Ovis aries: one gene and its partners. The main gene of each other region encodes a partner of the protein of the gene in region 3 in a complex. Links are inferred from orthologs where the notes say so. Each region holds a gene or a part of one and is shown on either strand. Other genes may lie near its edges.

Region 1 (4,336 bases), on a different chromosome or scaffold from region 3:
AAGAATTCCCCTGAAGTTAGTTCTTTAAATACTTCCTTAGCAGAACCTTTTTCCCTAGTCATTTGCAGAATTTCTAGCCTTTCTTCAAACATTAACCTCTAATAGGACAGGACAAGCTTTTACAATCTCTTTAATACTAAGAGCCATAAGTGAAGAGGCTAAGAAACCAAAAATTGCTTGACAGAAAATAAGTATCCCATCTCACCATTCTCATAAGTAATAGAACTGGAAATCATGTCTTTTATTAACTACGTATGACCCAAGTCTTTAGATTTTTCTTTTTTCTCTCAACAGTCAACTATTCTTTTCTGCTGGGACAGTCAGACATCAGCATCAGTGAGAAACATATTTACCCCTTTCCAGGGCCAGTCTTGATAAATCAAATTTGGGCTGATGTACGTTACAGTGGCACTAGGCAAACATTCAATTCAATGTCAAAAGCCACAAATAAGAAGTTCAGGAAGTACCCAACTGACTTAAGGAGAGGAAGGAGCAATCATTTCTTGAATGCCTGTATTTTGCCTCATCATCCCTATGCTATGAAGAAATTGGATTACAAATTTATGGTTGCCCCATGATAGAAGCTCATGGCCTAAGAAATCTTCCAGGATTAAAAGAAAACCCTCCAAGATATTTCCAGAGGAGCAGTAAAAATGCATAAAGACATTCCTATTCACAATGGTTGGATGAATTAAGATCTATCACTGAACTCTATCAATTTTAGAGGTGGAAGAGTACTTAGGAATGATGAGAAAAACGGAACTAAACAGGTTGACTTTCTCAGAGTTATAGAGGGGTGAATACTCATTTTCTGGCTTCCAATTCAACATCTTCCTCCTCCCATATAGCTGCTATTATTTTTCAAGCAACTCTTCCATTTTGAGTGAAATTTCATTTCAAGGGACAAAAAATTACTTAACTGACAACATGGGTATTTCTTACTTAATGCTAACAGTTGCACAAGTCTTTCTCAAGCTTTCTTCCCCTACCCTAGCACCCTGCTATGACTCACAGCACAGCACGACTGCTACAGCAGTCGCCTAAGTTTCTCTTCCAAGTGGTCTTGTATCCCTGGGGTACTCTTCCCTCTCGTTTCCCTCGTTTTTTTTTTTTTTTTTAAACCACTCCTTTCTTCCCACAACATACAAAATAACAGCTCTTTGAAATCATTTTAATAACCTGGCAGTGATTCAAAGTACGAAAATATTCAGATATCTCCCTTGGACGGGGATGCTACCATGACTGCTTCACAACAAGCATGATCGAAGGCAAAGATGAGACCGGACTCGAGGGGCAAGGGTCGGAGCAAGCTTCCAGGCTCACAGACTGAAGAGCCTGGCTGCAGAAAGTCTCTTGGGTGCTGGCAGGCAGCAGAAGACACATGAAATGTTAAGACATCCTCAGAGGACGGGGCGCGGCTGCTGGGTCATGAGCACCTTGAAGCGTTTCTTGATGGTGATTCGGTGTCGAGAGTATTTGTCGTCTGGGGAGAATCGAGCAGGGTGGGCCGAGCACGTCTGTTGTCCCATAGGATCAAGCTTCTGCTCGAGGAGGAAAGAACATAATCTCAGCACTGGAATGGTGGGAAAACGCAATCCCTGGCCTCAAAAGGGAGATGGAGGCTGGGATGGGGAGTTCAGTTCAGTCGCTCAGTCGTGTCCGACTTTTTGCGACCCCATGAACCGCAGTACGCCAGGCCTCCCTGTCCATCACCAACTGCCGGAGTTTACCCAAACCCATGTCCATGGAGTCGGTGATGAACCATCTCATCCTGTCTTCCCCTTCTCCTCCCGCCCTCAATCTTTCCCAGCATCAGGCTCTTTTCAAATGAGTCAGCTCTTCGCATCAGGTGGCCAACGCATTGGAGTTTGAGCTTCAACATCAGGGGCCGCGCAAAAACGGCAAACATGAAAACAGGAGACGCGACGGTAAGATCTAGAAGCCACGCATTTCTGCTTCCATTAATTAATACCACGCGCGGCTTCTGGAGTTTCTAGTCCCGCCCCCTCCCCCGCCCCCGCCCAAGCAGCTAGGCAACTCACTGTCTTCTCCCGACCGCTCCTTCCAATGACATGCATCGCTAAGCTGACATCCAGCCCGTTTACCCTTCTCACCTTCAGCGTGTAGACTCGCTCTCCTTGCTCGTTGAGGTAATACTGGAGAAACATGATCACACTAAAGCAGGACGTTCCAATTCTGTCCGCAGCTGCCTCTAACTGAAGGCCTCACGTGTTGGTCAATTTCCTTCCTGTACAGCCGGAAGTCTCGCTCTGAAAGCACGCCGGGAATTGTAGTCCAGTTTATCTAGACTTTTCTCCAGCCGGACAGAAGGAGGCGCACTAGCTCAGAACGTGACCAGTTGCAACCCAGTTGCAATCTTGTAGGAGTTGTACGACACGTGCAGTGTGCCCACTGTGGGCCTGGTACTGCTAGGGAGAGAGGGGAGTAGGGATGGATATAGATTAAACATAACTGAATACTATCCTGTTTTTATTTCAAGATGCACACCCATTTCAGAGGCAATGAGTTTCTAGTACCTGCAGAACTAAAGGCTCCAGGATCCAGAGCCTCCTTTACCTTAGGAAAGAAAGAAGATTTTCTTCCTTCCCCTATTTTACATCCGGTTCTCTCGCCCTGTTTCAAACATTGGCGGTAAAAATGCACGATGGGTATTCCATATTCTGCACAGCGAAAAGAGCGTGAAGTTATTTTACGAAACCGGTGAAGCATATTTTAGTGGTCGACCCAAGATTCAAACTCAGGTCTCTGCCACAAATTCAACTCTCTGTAGTGGTGAGTAGCTAATAATAGCGTGATAAGATGCGCCTCTTAGAGGTATGGCGAATTTTTAAAAGAACGTACAAATTCTCTTTATAGGATTCTGGTTTAAAGAAATGAAAATTGGAACCCAGATATCATTAACCGAGGTGACCATTGCGGTATGATTTATAATGGCGAAAAACGTTGGAAGATATATGCAGCTTTATAACCAGAAAAACCTTAAAGTTGGTTTTTTTTTTTTTAAGTATAGTTTGTGTTTGCTTGTAGTTGTATAAAATATCTCAGTGAGGATCCAGAATAAATCTGATTTCCTCCGGCATAAAGAGCTCAACTTGGTTCCAGAAGGAGTAGGACGGGGGGTGGACTTGCTGTGTACTCCATTTTAAATAGTCTGACTTTTGAACAGTCCTGATGTACTACCCATTTTAAAAATTAAAATTATTTAACAAAATTTAAAACCACAAAAATAATTTAACAAACAAACAAAAAAGACTTTTGGGTCTTGGAATTTTACTCTGAGTGGCAGTTTTTGATTAAGTGGGAAGCTTTTCAGCCCAGGGTATGGCTGAGCTGTTTGTGGACTGCAGAGGTGATGGTAATAGTCTATTTGGGAACTGCAAAACAGCTTTCTAAGGAAATGATATACATACAGCAAATCAGCACCCTTGATATTGTGAGACAACCCTAATTTGAAACATTCTGTTCACTTGATCCGTAAATATATAGACTATGTGCTTTGATTTTGGTTTAGAAAATACAGCAAACATTGAATTGTCAAGAGTTTGCCACAGTCTGCTGTTAATAGGAAGTCAGGTACAAAACTGGGTAGAATTGAAAGGCACAAAACTAGATATATTGGTGAAGAAGTGTATAGGGAACCAAGATGTGAAACTACGTGGTTGGGAATCTGAGAAATAATTGGCAAGTTGTCCTGAAGAGATACACAATTGTGTCGCCATACTCTGGTTTGGAGGGCATTCCTGGTTACTGCCTACATACCAGAGTCCTTTGTGGAATATCTCCCTAACTTCCCATTTCCCCCTCCCTTCCCCCCACTGTAGAATGATGCCTTGAGTTCTAGATTCTAGTTCTGTTTTGATCTGATGTTTACCCTCCCTTCCTTGGATCCCTGTGTTTCGACTGGAGTTTACTCTCTGGGTCCTGGACCTGCCTGTCTCATTCTGGAGGCTTCCAGACAGCCACAGTTAGTGCCCAAACCTGAGACGATGTCTTCAGATGGAGGTGAGCCTGCCGGTAGGGGAGGGTCCTCTGCCACCAGCTCCCTCTTTAGCGATTCAAAACTTGACACTTTACCTGGGGACGAGCTCTCAGGGCTGACCTAGAGGGATGTGAGAACACCAGACACCACCAGAGGCATCACACTGGGGGAGGAGATGGTGCTGTTAATACTAGGGGTTGGGGAAGGAAGGGGGCCTCCTAGGTGGCAGATCAGAGCACCTCTGAGGAAAGTGCTGAGTAGAGAGAAGGGATGGTAGTTAGCAACTTGCTTCTCTGGAAGAGGGTGACCTTCAGCATGTGTTTGTGTGGCAGGGGC
Region 2 (4,966 bases), on a different chromosome or scaffold from region 3:
GCGCAGCGGCGCACGCAGTACGTATTCTCCTGCGGCTGCAGCACGTTGGCGATCACCTCTGCCAGCCTGTCCTGGGGGAGGGCATCGTAGGCCCCCACCACGTCCGCCTATGTGGGAACAGGGGGCCTGAGGACACGTTCACCCCTAACCCCGAGTTTTGGGTCCGGCTTGTCCTGACCTGCCATCAGCCAATACTGGGGTGAGTTGAACATGAGGGATGGGCAGACCCTGTACCCCCATCCCTGCCCCCCGGGGGCTCTCTCTGAGACTCCCCTTGCCCTGGACTCTGAGCACCCCTCGGACTGGCCTGCATGCTCTCTCTGAGCTGCAGGCTGGCATCCTGACGACCAGGGCACAACACAGGGCAACCCGCCCAGGGTCCGAGCAGCTGTCTCCTTCCCTGGAGGGAGGGCAGGAGCCCCGGGGAAGTGGGGTGCACTCCCAGAGTACTCCAGAGGCACAGAGCCTCTGCCCCGGGAGCTGGGCCCCTGTCTTGCAGCTCACAGAAGCTGAGAGTCACGTTTAACATGGACGTGACCCCACCAGGGGTGACCCATCCTGGCACACACGGGGCTGTAGGAGGCGGTCACTTCCCACATCAGCTGGACCAGACCCACAGGGTCACCTGCAGCCCTGGCTCTCTCCACAGGGGTGGGGATGGGCGCCCACCTTGACGAAGTAGAGCGGAGGGGCTGGGCCCCGGGCCCTCAGGGGCAGCACGAAGGCCCTCCAGGCCCTGTGGATGTCGTCCATGCCCAGCACCGAGGCCCCCAGGAGGCCGGGACGCCGAGCTCGCTCGTAGTTCAGCACCGCGAACAGCGTCTTGACCCGCGAGCTGAGATGCTGCACCTGCGGGCCCAGCCCAGACGGGAGTGTCGCCAGAGCAACTATGGCCAAGGGGACTCGGGGTCAGACAGCCCCAGGGGTCATCCCCAAGGGGACACCAAGGGTCAGACAGCCCCCAGGCACCGTCCCCAAGGGGACTCGGGGTCGGACAGCCCCAGGGACCGTCCCCAAGGGGACACCAAGGGTCAGACAGCCCCCGGGGGCCGTCCCCAAGGGGACACCAAGGGTCAGACAGCCCCCGGGGGCCGTCCCCAAGGGGACTCGGGGTCAGACAGCCCCAGGGGTCATCCCCAAGGGGACACCAAGGGTCAGACAGCCCCAGGGGCCGTCCCCAAGGGGACACCAAGGGTCAGACAGCCCCCAGGGCCGTCCCCAAGGGAACACCAAGGGTCAAACAGCCCCAGGGACCGTCCCCAAGGGGACACCAAGGGTCAGACAGCCCCAGGGGCCGTCCCCAAGGGGACACCAAGGGTCAGACAGCCCCAGGGGCCGTCCCCAAGGGGACACCAAGGGTCAGACAGCCCCAGGGGCCGTCCCCAAGGGGACACCAAGGGTCAGACAGCCCCAGGGGCCGTCCCCAAGGGGACACCAAGGGTCAAACAGCCCCAGGGGCCGTCCCCAAGGGGACACCAAGGGTCAAACAGCCCCAGGGGCCGTCCCCAAGGGGACACCAAGGGTCAGACAGCCCCCAGGGCCGTCCCCAAGGGGACACCAAGGGTCAGACAGCCCCCAGGGCCGTCCCCAAGGGGACACCAAGGGTCAGACAGCCCCCGGGGGCCATCCCCAAGGGGACTCGGGGTCAGACAGCCCCCAGGGACAAGGGACAGGTCCCTGCTCTCTGCTGCCCCCTGCCCACCAGCCCCCCTCAGACCCCAGAAAGACCATATGGCCAAGCTGTCCACACCCACTTCAGACCCCGGGTCTCCCCAGGGACCCATCCTCGGATCACGGACACCACTTGTGGAAAAGGCAAGCAGCCAAACCCTGGGTCCCTCCCCTCGCCTGGTCCCCCCACCCAGCAAAAGGGACGCTGCCTCTTGGGGGACACCCCCACAGCGGGTGAGCCATGCGTCACTGCTCATGGACAAGCCCCCACCAACAGTGACGGCTTCTCTTTGTCACTAATGGTAGAATCACCCCAATCACTCCAGGGGGCTCTGGAAGGGGCAGGAGCTGCTGGTGACGCAGGGATGGCGGGGGGGGCGGTGTTGGGGGACAGTCACAGGGGCCAAGCACAGGGGTGAGTTCCTGGGGACCCCAGCAGGCTGGTAACAGACGTCACATACCCCTCTGCCCGGCATCCCGAGAGCACAATGGCCCCCTGGGGGATTCCAGGAGACGGGGGCACAGAGGGGTCTCGGAGCCCGGCTGGCACCCTGCAGGACAGGCCTCACTGGGAGCTCCTTCTCTGGACCTAGGAGTCCTCTGGCCATGCCCCCTGGCTCCTCAGGACCTCACCGCAGCCCCCAGACACCCCGGGACTTTGGGCACAGCCACTGGGCCTGGGTTTCAACGCGCTTGGCCCAGAACAACGTGAGCAGCGACCTTCTTGTCTCTGGGCGGCGCTGGGGCGCCCTCGACACAGCCCACGTTCACGATGGGCCGCAGCCCGCCGGGCTTGGGGACGAAACGGAGCCTGGACGTCAGCAGGGCCGGCCTGGCCTCCTGGTGCTGCCTGACCTCTGCTTCTGACAGCTCTCGAAGCCGCACACGCTCCAGGTGTTGTCTGAAACAGAGGTGCCCGCAGGCAGCCAGGGCAGGTCAGCCTGGTGGGTGCCCGTGCCCGTGCAGTGGGCAAAGCTCATGGCCGGCATGCCCGGTTCCTGGTGGACAGAGCTCAGACCAGAACTGGACAGGATGGCTCGCTGGGGAGACCCTGGGGTCTGGAGTGGGTGTGGGCAGCTTGGCCATCAGGTACTTCTGGGGTCTGAAGGAGGCTGGTGGGCAGGGACCCCACGTTCTCCTCCTGGAACAGGCAGGGGGTGCTTGGTGGAACCCCTGGGAGGAGCAGAATCGTCTCCCCACGGACCAGCCGGTTCCTTGTCATCTGTAAGCTTCAGCCTTCACCCCAAAACCATCCACAGGGATGGGCAGAGGTCCTCCCACCTCTTGGCCGTTGCAGGGAGTATGCTCCCTGGGCTGGTGGCCCCGAAGGAAGCCCGTGGCGGGACTCGAGCGTCCACCAGGCGGGGGACAGGCCACAGGGGCCCCACAAGAAGAGCTGGGCTGCCCACTTCAGTTTACATGTCAGGAAACGCTTGAATCGGGTGCCTTCATTCAGACCCACGGTAAGGGCCTCAAGAGGCTCCCCAGATGCCAGAGGACACGGGCCCCGGCCCACGTGCTCAGGGACCCCGATCCACTCCTGACTCAGGGACCCAAGCCCATGTACTCAGGGACCCCGGCCCACGTGCTTGGGGACCCCCACTTAGCTCCTGACTCGGGGACCTCGGCTCCGCCCCGACCCAGAGCACCTCCCTCGCTCAGACGCTCAGCCAAGATCTCTCGCAGAACGCCTGGAAAGGCCCAGCTCTTATCTCAGGTGGCTCCCCAACCCGTCCCGGCTGGGTCCCTGTCCACTGACAGCCACCCAGGCCTTCACAGAGGACACAGACGGCAGGAGGGGACAGAGCTCATGGCTGCCGCGCGGGCACTCAGCCCCTGGGGAGCCTGCTTCACGGTGCCCCCAGTGCCCCCGGCGGCCGGCGCAGACAGGCGGGTCCGTGCGTGCAGGCGCGGGTGTCCCCCCGCGTACCTGACGCCCAGGCGCTGCAGCTGGCTCCAGACGCGCTTCCGGAAGAAGAAGAGCCGGTTCTTCTGGAACGTGGTCTCCGTGACGTAGAAGAAGCCCCTGAGCAGCTCCACCACGTAGGCGCCCATCAGCCAGCGCAGGAAGCGGCCCAGGACGGCCTCCCGCCGGCGGTGCTCTGCGGCAGGCACGCGGCAAGCCCCTGGGAGGAGAGAAGCCGGTGCTCGCCCTCCACGCTGCCCCCGCAGGCCGGGATGGTTGCCCACGGCCTCCGAGTCCACAGCGACTAGGAGCAGGGGGCAGAGAAGGCGGGTAACTAGGCAAGGAGCCTCCCCAGATCACGGGCTAAAGTGATGCTACCAGATCGCTGCACTTTGATAGAAAATGTTTTTAAATGAGGTTCCCCTTTCTTTTTCCTCTTGCGGCTACTGGAAAATGCTGAATGAGTCATGGCGCTCACGTATGCTCCTGCCGGACAGCGTGGACCCAGAGCCCCAGCACTTGTCACTGCGCACACAGACTAGGGGAGCCGGGGCTGCTGTCCCCGGGGTGGGGGGGGATCAGGGGGGCTGCGCTGCAGTTTCAGGCATCACCACTGGGCCGCAGGGGCTGGAAATGCCCGGGGGGTTGCAGGCTGAACACGAGGGGCACGTAGAGGCGGCCCCGAGTGCTGAGGAATGCCCAACGCTGCCGGCTCCGGACACACGCCCCGCGGGCCTCTGTGGTTTACGCTGTGCCACAGGGGCCTCAGCGCTGACAGAGCCAGGGCCTCACCGGCAGAAACCGGGTCAGAGGACAAGGAAGGGGGCCTGGAGGCGGCCTGGGGCAGGACGGTGAGTAGCCAGCGAAGGAAAGAGGAGGGGGTGAAGCCACGCCCACACGGACTGCGAGGGGCCAGTGAGAGCAGGGCTGGCTGAGCCGGAGACAGTTCAGCTGCGATCCGATCCCAACACGCGAGGCTACGGCTGGAAGGAAGCCACCCCGAGGGCGACGGAGAGCACACAGCTAGCTCTAGACGAGACACCCACACACACACGTGAAAAAGTGCACACCGGGAAACGGAATAAGAACGCAGGAAGAGTGGCAAATTGGGAGGATGAGAAAGACGCGCCCAGACCGGGTCAGCACAGAGAAGTGTAAGGCCAGGGGAGCCACACAGACGGTCAGACGGGATCGGACAGACGCGCAGAAGGTTGGCTCAGGGCCGCGATACGGCACCTACACTACGCGTGCTCACGGGACAGGAGAGGCTGAAGGTAAAACCCAGATAAGGGCAAACAGCATGAGCAGTAAACACTGGCGAGTGGGGAGGCAGGGAGACAGACTTTAAGGTAAAGAGAGTCGCTAGACACTCGTGGTGGCAACCCACTC
Region 3 (4,966 bases):
GTCTGACTCTTGCAACCCCATGGACTGTAGCCTGCCAGGCTCCTCTGTCTATGGGATTCTCCAGGCAAGAATACTGGAGTGGGTTGCCATTTCCTTCTCCAATGATAGTTTTCTTAACTCTTCCTCTGTTTTGGACTTTTGGATTGTTTTCAGGATTTTTTATATCATGAATTATTTTTCAGTGAACATCTCCATGTGTTTTGATGGAGATTCTTCAGAGAAACAGAGAAGTTTTATAAGAAATACCCTAGGTCGGAGAGTATCAGTATTTTTTTTATGTCTTGTAATACCAATAATCAATTTGTTTTCAAAAGCTTTTTATGCTGTTTATTCTTTTTATTATTATTACTGGTGTTGGCAGTATGAGTATACCAGTTCTATCACAACCTCACTTATTAGCTATTTTCTTTTTTAAGTCTGTATTTCATTTGTGGCATTATTGTTTCTGTTTCATGTTTTGGTGTTTTGGCCTTGAGGCATGGTATTTTCATTTTTAACGTCTGAAAGTTTGGTATGGAAATGGATAACATTTATTTAGGTGGGGAAAGTGGGGGACGGTTTGGGGGTATTTTTGTGCATCTGTGTACTGCTTCTTCTCAACACAGTTTCCCAACTCCTCTCCTCCTTTTTCTACCTTTTCACAGAGCTTTCTGGAACTCCTATTTCTATGTCCCCCCCTCTTCCCTGAATACTCTGCCTACCCTGTGGCTCTTGCCTGAGGCCTTCCCTTTCCTGTACCTTCTCTAGGGGAGACTGTGCAACCTCTGTGTCCTACATATCTCGGGTTGGGGAGGGGGTGTCCTCATTCTCAAATGCTATATCCAGACAATTGCTTTTCTGCTTTGTAAAAACTGTTCCTTTGTGGCTTAGGCTGTCTGATTCTCCCTGACTTGCTGAGTACCTTGGCACCTCAGCTCTCTTCTGCATGCCATGTCTTTGTACCATCTTGGTGACCTTAGGTATCCAAACGAGAAAGCAGGGTCTCATCCTTTAATCCCCCTCTCCTAACCCCCACATCCAATTAATTACCAAATCCCATCAAGTCCGCCTGATCTTTCTAATTTATCCAGTTCACTCTGTTTTAATTCAAGGTGCTATTATTTTGGGCCTTATGTTATTGGGACAGTCTTCTGTTTCCATTTGCCCATTAAAACATTTGACTGCTGATTGTGCTGATTCCTCAGTAGGTGTTGGGGAAGCAGTGGTAAGTAAGACAGACATGATTCCTGCCTTTTGCAGAGTGGAGACACAGAAGGCATTTGGAACGTGGTTCAGGAGGAGGCTTCCCATGGGGACAAGTATCTGAGAGACCCAAAGGATGGCTAGGATTTGACCAGGAAGAGTTGTTGGGGGAAATGAGGGAAGGCTGTTCCAGACTTGGAGTCTAGTGTGTGTGAAAGCCTGCAGCCCAGGAATGCAGTGAGTTGGCATCTTCTCAGAGCTGGGAATCAGGATGGTGGAGTGTGGAGATGTTACAGGAAAGAAGGCAGGGGTGAGGGATGAGCCTGGAGAGGTGGGTGTGGGGTAGATGCCTGGTAAGGGAAGTCTTCCTAGAAGATTGGGTTTTATACTGAGGGTTATGGAGAAGCATTGCAATGCTTTGAGCAGGAGAATGATGCGGTACATGAGTCCAGGGCCTCAGTGTGGCTGAAGAATGGAAAATTGAGTGGCAGGTTAGAGTATGGGGAGGAGGGAGGCCAGGGCTGGCAAGAAGGTAGTGGCTACACGTGGAATCAGAGGTAAGGAGACATGTTCAAGTGAACCTAGGAGGTGGAATTGGCAAGCTCTGGCCTTGGATTGGACCAGGAGAGGAAAGGGCATGAAGAGAGTAGTAGTCAGGGTGCTCAGACTTCAGCCTTGAGAACCGGGTGCAGAGCCCAGGAGGAGCAGCAGATTCAGAGGCAGCAGAGGCTGGGTCTGTCCCGGCTAAACTGAGTTGAGGAGCCTGTGCGATGCCCTAATGGAACTTTCCTCCAGGCAGTCAGATGCAAGGGTTAAGAGTGGAGATGTGGACCTGCAGTCACAGCTGGGTGACATCACCCCAAGGGCCAGCAAGTAAGGGACAAAGGACTCGTATCCTGCTGATGTGAAGATTTCCTTTAAGTCAGTAAGTCGAAGACAACAACCAAGGAGAAAACTGAGCAAAAACTATGAGAAGGTGCCCTTAGAAGGAAAAGTGCCTTTACTGGTAATGAGAGATGCCAGTTTATATTGTAATGAAATACCATTTCACAGCCTTCAAATTGAGAAAAATATGGGAGTCTGGCAACAGCAAGAGGAGGCAGAGCAATGGGTGCTCCTACATGCCGCTGCGGGGAGAATAAATTGGGATGAGCACTTTTGGAAAAAAAAAGTGACACGATCTCGTAGAGTTGGCAGAGCACATACTATGGAGCCCAGTGGTTTCCCTCAGTAGCAGAAACTGCAGAGAATCCCTCCCACATGTGTACCAGATTGTTAAAGTGCACTTGCCAGAAACTGGAAAAACATCAGTGACTGTCAATAGAGAACGATGCGTGAATGGAGTGCTGTGAAGCAGGGAAAATGCGTGAATTCAAGCTAAGTTTGTCACCATAAATCTCATAATCACGATGGGACGCATGTAGCGTGGTACCATTCATATTAAGTTTAAAGGCAAGCAAGACCATGCTATATATTGTCTTTCCTCTATGAATATATTCCTAAAGAAATATACAAGAATGATAAATTAAGGATAGTGTTTCCCTCTAAAGGAGGATTTCATTGGGAAGAGGTTTTTAACTGTTTGGTAAAACATTTTGTTTCTTAAGCTGAGTGGAGGCCTCACAGGGTTTGGTTTGGCTTTGTTTTAATACTTCTTTGCTTGTTTGAACTGGTCGATAACTTTTGTAAAGGATCCAATGGCACCTGGTAGGTGGCTTGGTGGGTATTTGCATCATTGGCTGGTTCTTTGTCTCTGGGTTGGGGTATTATTTGTTTCTCTAAGTGTTGACAAAGCAAAAGGATAAATCTGTATGGCATTTAGTGGCCCAAGTCTGATGTGAAAGTCTGAGCTAGCCTTGAATTGGAAGATCAAGATCTTGTTCTTGTATTTGCCTGATGTGCCTTCCCCTGCCTGGTTAAGTGCCCACAGAGCGTCTCCCGCTGCCATAAACCTGCTCCAGGTCCGAGTGGGCCTCCTTGTCCTACCAGTGACCCAGGCATCTCCTCATCTCTGTCTAGGCCCCTGTCCTTCGAATGGTGGAAGGCGACACCATCTATGACTACTGCTGGTATTCCCTGATGTCTTCAGCTCAGCCAGACACCTCCTAGTAAGTGATGTCTTTTGCCTGCTTTCCCTCCCCACCCCCATTTTAAGGGGACCCTCTGCTGAGAGACAGCCAGGGGCTGTGGGGGTCTCAGGAGGAGGGAAGCTTGCTTTGACCTTCAGATGTGAGCTGAGAGGGCTGGTCAGTTGGCTTCCTCCCCTTCCTTTGACAGCACCGGGGCCTCGGTGTCCATGTCTCTCTCAGCGTGGCCAGCAGCAGCAGGGAGAACCCAATTCACATCTGGGACGCCTTCACCGGAGAGCTCCGGGCTTCCTTTCGCTCCTACAATCACCTGGTAGGGACTCTCTGCCTAGCCCCAGGGCTTGCCCTGGCCTAGCTCTCCTTCCTGGAGAAGGAAGAGGCTGTGCGCCAGGCCTGTTTCCAGCCCTTCCCTTCCCCCAGGATGAGCTGACAGCAGCCCACTCGCTCTGCTTCTCCCCGGATGGCTCCCAGCTCTTCTGTGGCTTTAACCGGACTGTGCGTGTCTTCTCCACATCCCGGCCCGGCCGAGACTGCGAGGTCCGAACCACGTTTGGTAAGCAGTCTACACCTCCAAGGGAGGAGAGAAAGGGGCCCAGCCAAGAGCAGAGGGGCCCTGTGGTCATGTGCGGAGGTAGGGGGTTGAGGGGTTGTTACCCTCACAGCCCTGGGAGGTTGTACCCAGTAGATAGAGGAGAAAGCAGACTCACGGAGGGCATAAAACTTTCCCAAGATCAAACTCTAGTCAAGAGTTGGTTCACTCCTGAGCCCCTCCCCTGCTGGTACTTTACCTCTTGGTTCCCAAAGTTTTAGTTTTTCCAAGAAACTGGAGAAGCTGATTCCGTTTGCCTATAAGTCTTAGCTTTCTGACCCTTCCAAGGAAAAATTGAGGGGACTTCCCTGGCAGTCCAGGGGTTAAGACTGCACTTCCACTGCAGGGGGCACAGGTTTGATCCCAGTCAGGGAACTAAGATCCTGCATGTCTTGTGGTGCAGTCAAAGGAAAATACAAAAGCAGTAATTGAATGCTTATTAGGTATTGGGGTGGGGAAACAAATAAGATGGAATTTTTTTTAAAAAAGAAAAATTGAGATTTGAGAGGGAAGAAAGTGGGGCTTGCATCTTTCGGTCCTTTAAAGGGGATAGAAGGATTTAGGGAGCATCAGAAGTTTTCATCCTGCTGAAAACGAATGGGGTGTAGGGGACACTGAATCCAGCACCTGGGCTCTGGGACAGGAGACAGAGGTACACCTCTGATTAGCCTGGTTAATGCTGGGTACTCTTGCCCTCTCCCCCACGTTGTTCCTTCCCCTTCTAGCAAAAAGGCAGGGCCAGAGTGGCATCATTTCCTGCATAGCCTTCAGCCCAACCCAGCCCCTCTACGCCTGTGGCTCCTATGGCCGCTCCCTGGGCCTGTACACCTGGGAAGATGGCTCCCCTCTTGCCTTGTTGGGAGGACACCAAGGGGGCATCACGCACCTCTGCTTTCACCCCGATGGCAATCGCTTCTTCTCCGGAGCCCGCAAGGTGGGGATCATATTCTGAGGTTCCAAAACAAGTGGGTAGAAGGCAGGAGTGGGGATGTAGTCTGCTGTGTTGGGAGATGGGCATGGGGGAAAAAAGTCAACCCAGCTAAAGGAGTGCTTATAACCCTGGAGGGAAGCAGATGTGTCTTGGAGGCAGGAGTGGAGGGTGGATTCT
Region 4 (5,554 bases), on a different chromosome or scaffold from region 3:
GTCCCTAGAACATCCCTTCTGAACATTGCACCCACTAACAGGACTGACACGTTCAAGTTCACCTTCTGTTTCATTCCCACAGTCCCATTTTACAGGGAAGTAGAAGTACAGAGAGGTGACTTATCTGCATTCCCTCATCTGGGAAGCAGCAGAGCCAAGAATCCATCCAGGCCTGTCTTTAGCTCCAGAGCTCATGCTGTTTGCCACTATGACCTGCTGCCACCAACCTGATCCCAGGCCCTCTTCTGTGCTGACCAAGATCAGGGCTCCTTACCGTCTTAGAGGGGATATAGACATACGGTAAATTCCGGTCTTCACACATAACTGGGAGATGGCAGTATACCTCAATGGGTAATGTGTCTCCTGCCAAAACCATAATCCTGAAATAAGAGAAATCACTGTCACTCCCAGCTTGCTGGTTCCCTTTTCAGTCATAAGGGAAGCCTCTGAGCTGAACCTTGGGGGTTACAGAGATGGGTAAACAGGCCCCTGCCCTCAAGGAGCCCCATCATATATGTCTCCCAAACTCAAGAAATGCATTCAGATTTGTTTGGTGAGTGCATTCCTCTGGGGAGGTGATCTCTGTTGCCTGGCAACAAGTAAATGCCACCAAGTGTGACAAAAGGTACTGTACCGGGACAGATGAAGTATGAGAGATGCTAAGGAGTAAGAGCTCAGCTTTCCTTGGACAATCAAGAAAGGAATCAGGAAAAACACTTTAGAGGAAAGCTGAATGATGGACATCTGTCAGGCAGCCCATGGAGGGGCTTTGTTGCTGCCAGTCACTAAGTCATGTCCTATTCTTTGTGACCCCATGGACTATAGCCCGCCAGGCTCCTCTGTCCATGGGGTTTTTCCAGGCAAGAATACTGGAGTGGGGTGCCATTTCCTTCTCCAGGGGATCTTCCCAGATCAGGGATTGAACCTGCATCTCCTGCCTTGGCAGGCAGATTCTTTACCACTGAACTACCAGGGAAGCCCATAGAGGGGCTGGGGGCAGGGAAAGCATTTAAGGTTGAGAGAATCAGAAAGATACCAGATACACAGGGGATGGCTGTTGTTGGGAGCCAGGGATGGCTTTGGAATCCAGGATGTGGAGATAAGGCTGACAAGAAGGCTAGAAAAACTAGTCACATGTAAGGGTCTTGAGTGCTTCAAGGCTCATTCCTAAGAGTGATAGGGAACCAAGGAAAGCTTGCCAGAGAATCTGTAACTATTCTAGCTGGCCAGGTGATGGGGTTCTGCGACAAGGGCCTCAGGAGCCCTGATGACAGCAGAAGAGTCTGTTCTAGGGGAGAGGAAACCGCAAGGAAAGAGCTCTTGGGTTCAAAGCAGTATGTCCACACTCCCTAGCTTTCCTTTGGCTCATAGACTCTCCTCCTCTGCAGGCTCCACTTCCTTTGAGTAGCCTTTGTTGTTTTTGGCCGTGCTGTGCAGCTTGTGGGATGTTAGTTCCCCAACCAAGGATGGAACCCTGGCCCGCTTGCAGTGGAAGCATGGAGTCCTAACCGCTGGACTGCCCAGAAATTCCAGAGAAGCCTTTCAATGCTGGTATTCCCACAGCCTGGTCTTTCTGCTCTGTCAGTACGTTCTCTCAGCTGACCCCATCTGTAACCAAGGCTTCAAGTGCCAACTGTATATTGACAACTCCCAAATCTATTCTCTCCAACCCAACCCTATCCCAAACTGAACACCCATATAGCCACCTGCCTATCTGATAGTTCTGCTAGGGAGAGGGTTTCCATGTTTAAAAGGCATCTTGAAAACTTGTCTAAAACCAGACTTGTGATCTCATACAAATCTGGCTCCCTCACTGTTCACTGTCTCAGTGAACCGGCCCTCTGTCCATCTGCCTGGAGCCCACACCTCCTCACTCTGTATGCAAAAGTCCTCTCATCCATCCACGTTAATTCTATCCATCTCTGCCATCAATAACCCAATCAAAATTGCTCTCATCTCTTCTGCACCTGAGTAGCCACCTATCTCAATTTCTCCATCTATTTTTCCACCTCTGATCTTTTCCAAAGTTGCCAGAAAAACCTTCTAAAGATGTAAACATAATTATGTCATCCCTCACTTTAACACTCATTGGCTTCCAAAACTCCTGAGTACAAAAACTAAACTTACAATGGCTTATTAGAGTCCCATGAGAAGGTAGCACTTCTATCCACTACCACCCTCTCCTGCCCTGGAATCTACTTTCTTCTGGCAGAATGCCCCCCAAACCTGGAAGCCACAAACGAATCCTATATCTTCAGACCTCAGCTACCCCACCTAGGTCAGACTCCATAGAGCACCAAATCCTCCCAGCATTATTTGGCTCCTGAGCACCTACAACGTACCAGGCGCTTCTGAAAATAAAGCAGTGAGAGGCTTTATTCTGTTCTCAAAAAGCTTACTTTCTGGCCTGAGTGAGAGAGACAGGGAACAAAAATGCAAATAGTTTTCAGATCCTGAAAAATGCCAAAAAGGAAAGCTGTAGGATAATGAAGTCATTCTCGCTGCACCCTGTACTTCTCCTTCATGCTTACCCATGACAACTTGTACTTTTGTGTGTATTTGATTACTGCCATTGTCTCCCCATAGCACAGTGCCTGAAAAACAGTAGACACTCGGTAAATCGTCGCTAAGTGAATGAAGCTGGGATCAATCCTAAGGAAGTTGGCTTATACGATTTGGTTCCCCTGGAATTCACCTTCCCCAAGGTGTCCCTTTGAGCTCTTGTAAGTGGTATCGACATCTGTACGGAAGGGAATGTATCTTCTGCATACGACCCAAGTCGGAGCACTTTTACCAACTACCTGTTAAGCAGCAGGATACCATCCTCGAAATCCGGCGGAGGGTAGGGGGGATTCTTACCCTTTCTCGCCTTTGTTGATAAATTTCTGAACCTCTTTCACCCCGCGCCGAATCTGCTTCTGCTTCACGGCTGCAACGACAGAACAATCAGTCGGAGGGGGCCTCGGCCTGCCACCCGCGTGCCGCCCCGGCTCGGCGTCCACCGCACCTTTCTTAATGCATTTGTAGAGCTTCCGCGTGAGGCGGCGAGAAGCCAGAGGCTGCGCGATGGGGTTCAGATTCACCAGCAGTTCATGGTAAGTGCGCTCCCCGCAGCACGCGTCCGCCTGAGCCTCCGGCCCGTCCGGATCTGCCTTTATTTTGGTCATGGCAGCGACTGTGGCAACCTAGCACTCAAGGCACAAGTCCACGTGGCCGGCACTTCAGAAATCACTTCCGGGTCATGCTACTCTGCGTGAAGAGGCAGTGCGACATAGCCAATTAGGAAACAGGGAGCGCCGAGAGGTGGAGTCTTGGCCGTAGGGGCGGGGCCACTCCCACAATGCAGGCGGGGCGGAAGCGATTTAGGGCACCAGTCGGCAAGCAAGCTGTGAATTTGGGCTAACTCGGCAAGATAGTGAAAGGCAGAGGAAAGGCGTGCTACAGTCCATTGAGTCGCAAAGAACAGCACACAACTTCGCGACTAAACAACAACAACGGAGGGCCTCTGAGGCGAGGGGCGAAGGCCGGAAGGAGGCGGGCCCTGGAGGAGGCGAAGAGGGACTAGGATCCGGGCTTGGGTTTGTGTGAGAGTTTAGCGTCACAGGTGTAGGCGGAGCAAGGAGGAAGCTGTACCTGTAGGGGCGTGACCGCATCTAAGCGGACTGGAGCCCTGCCTAAAGGGCGGGGTCTGCGACCAGAGTAGTGGAATGGGAAGTCTTCGGTGTGATTCCAAACCTCAGAATCTGATCCCTCACTTGGGCAGTTCCGATCCCCATCTCGTGCCAGGTCCTGAGTTGGTCCTGGGTGCTGTACCCTAGGTGCCAAGGTTAAGGTAAAGCCTGGCACTGCTTGCGATTTCTTCGTTCTAGCACGGTTCTCACATTCTGCTTTCTCTTTACTGGCAAGGGATGGAACCATTCACTCACTAAGCGCCTCCGTCTAGACCGCTTTTCTTCGGAGAACTCGGTACCACCCTTCCCGCAGAAATCTGCTCAGCTGTTAAACACGGGAGAGATTCTCCTGACCAACGTACCCCAAATTAAAGTTCTTTTTCTGCCTCCCGCCGGCATCCTCTAACCCTCTTGTTTTCTTCGTAGTTCCCGCCGCTGCCTGGCATCACACCCACAGAAGGCATGACGGAGACCGCTGAGAGGGAAGACAAGTGTGAACACGGGCTGAGGGTGGGGAAGTGTGCAGAGTAGGCGGCGCTTTTGCAGTTAACTCTAGAGGATTAATTGGGCTACCCTGGTGGCTCAGATGGTAAAGAATCTGCAGGCAATGAGAGAGACCCGGGTTAGATCCCTGGGTTGGGAAGATCCCGTGAAGAAGGAAATAGCAACCCATTCCACTCCAATATTCTTGCCTGGAGACTCCCATGGACAGGGGAGCCTGGAGGGCTACAGTCCATGGAGATCGCAAAGAGGCGGACACGACTGAGAGACTAACACACACATACAGTGCTGGGGAGGTCAGCAGGCCTAGACCGGGGTGGGTCTTGTACCTCTGACTTATTTCTTGTACTCTGTCTTGGAACGTTGGATGAATATTTGTTGTTATTTAGTCGCTAAGTCGTGTCTGACTCTTTTGTGACCCCATGGATATAGCCCACCAGGCTTTTCTGTCCATGGGATTTCCCAGGCAAGAATACTGGAGTGAATTGCCATTTCCTTCTCTAGGGAATCTTCCCAACCCAGGGATCAAACAGGCGTCTCCTGTATTGGCAGGCAGATTCTTTACCACTGAGCCACCAGGGAAGTGAATCATTGTTATACATCAGTTGCCTTTGATTATGTGGTGGTAGGCGGGCCATTTCCGTGGCACTGGAACAGGCCATAAAGTGGTACTTTAAAAGTCTGCAGGCGGCCTTGACGGCAGGGGACAGTTAAGCCAACTGAAAACCTGAACTTTTAACCCTGAAACCAAGTGCAGCCGTTACATAAAAAACAAGTACTCTTGTTTTCAGACTTTAAACTTTTTATTTGTATTGGGATATAGCTGGTTAAAAGTGTTGTGGTAGTTTCAGGTGAACAGGGAAGGAACTCAGCCATACATATACATGAATCCATTCTCCCCTAAACCCCTCCTCCCATGCAGGCTGGCACATAACATTGAACAGAGTTCCTTGTGCTATACAATAGGTCCTTGTTGGTTATCCGTTGTAAATATAGCAATGTGTACCTGACCTTCCCCAAATCCCTAACTATGCCTTCCCTCTGGCAACCATAAGTCGTTTTCTGAGTTTGTGACTGTCTTTCTGCTTTGTAAGTTCATTTGTATAATTTCTTTTTTGAATCCATATATAAGGGATGTCATATGGTATTTCTCCTCCGGCTGACTTAGTATGACACTCCGTCACTCAGTATGACACTCTTTTGGTCCATCCATGTTGCTACAAATGGCATTATGTCATTCTTTTTAATGGCTGAGTAATATTCCATCATATATATATATTATCATGTCTTCTTTATCCATTCCTCTGTTGATGGGCATTTAGGTTGCTTCCCTGTCTTGGCTATTGTAAACAGTGCTGTAATGAACACTAGAGTGCATGTAT

The links.
Region 1: WRAP53 (region 3) and NOP10 share a complex: the UniProt entries of both Homo sapiens proteins name them as parts of the telomerase holoenzyme complex. The link is inferred for Ovis aries from reciprocal best matches to the Homo sapiens genes WRAP53 and NOP10.
Region 2: WRAP53 (region 3) and TERT share a complex: the UniProt entries of both Homo sapiens proteins name them as parts of the telomerase holoenzyme complex. The link is inferred for Ovis aries from reciprocal best matches to the Homo sapiens genes WRAP53 and TERT.
Region 4: WRAP53 (region 3) and NHP2 share a complex: the UniProt entries of both Homo sapiens proteins name them as parts of the telomerase holoenzyme complex. The link is inferred for Ovis aries from reciprocal best matches to the Homo sapiens genes WRAP53 and NHP2.

Annotation. Positions count from the first base shown.
Region 1 is NC_056060.1:26,485,744-26,490,079, reverse strand, and holds NOP10 (H/ACA ribonucleoprotein complex subunit 3), read right to left. Parts: upstream 2,219-4,336; 5' UTR 2,169-2,218; coding exon 2,115-2,168; intron 1,542-2,114; coding exon 1,401-1,541; 3' UTR 1,158-1,400; downstream 1-1,157. Other genes in the region: NUTM1 (NUT family member 1), read left to right, coding at 3,885-4,023. UniProt on the Homo sapiens protein: Required for ribosome biogenesis and telomere maintenance. Part of the H/ACA small nucleolar ribonucleoprotein (H/ACA snoRNP) complex, which catalyzes pseudouridylation of rRNA.
Region 2 is NC_056069.1:71,193,148-71,198,113, reverse strand, and holds part of TERT (telomerase reverse transcriptase), read right to left. Parts: intron 3,798-4,966; coding exon 3,602-3,797; intron 2,573-3,601; coding exon 2,392-2,572; intron 850-2,391; coding exon 670-849; intron 108-669; coding exon 1-107. UniProt on the Homo sapiens protein: Telomerase is a ribonucleoprotein enzyme essential for the replication of chromosome termini in most eukaryotes. Active in progenitor and cancer cells. Inactive, or very low activity, in normal somatic cells.
Region 3 is NC_056064.1:27,214,499-27,219,464, forward strand, and holds part of WRAP53 (telomerase Cajal body protein 1), read left to right. Parts: intron 1-3,201; coding exon 3,202-3,290; intron 3,291-3,491; coding exon 3,492-3,582; intron 3,583-3,689; coding exon 3,690-3,822; intron 3,823-4,583; coding exon 4,584-4,792; intron 4,793-4,966. UniProt on the Homo sapiens protein: RNA chaperone that plays a key role in telomere maintenance and RNA localization to Cajal bodies. Specifically recognizes and binds the Cajal body box (CAB box) present in both small Cajal body RNAs (scaRNAs) and telomerase RNA template component (TERC).
Region 4 is NC_056058.1:36,950,362-36,955,915, forward strand, and holds the start of NHP2 (H/ACA ribonucleoprotein complex subunit 2), read right to left. Parts: upstream 3,216-5,554; 5' UTR 3,168-3,215; coding exon 3,008-3,167; intron 2,930-3,007; coding exon 2,860-2,929; intron 381-2,859; coding exon 275-380; intron 1-274. UniProt on the Homo sapiens protein: Required for ribosome biogenesis and telomere maintenance. Part of the H/ACA small nucleolar ribonucleoprotein (H/ACA snoRNP) complex, which catalyzes pseudouridylation of rRNA.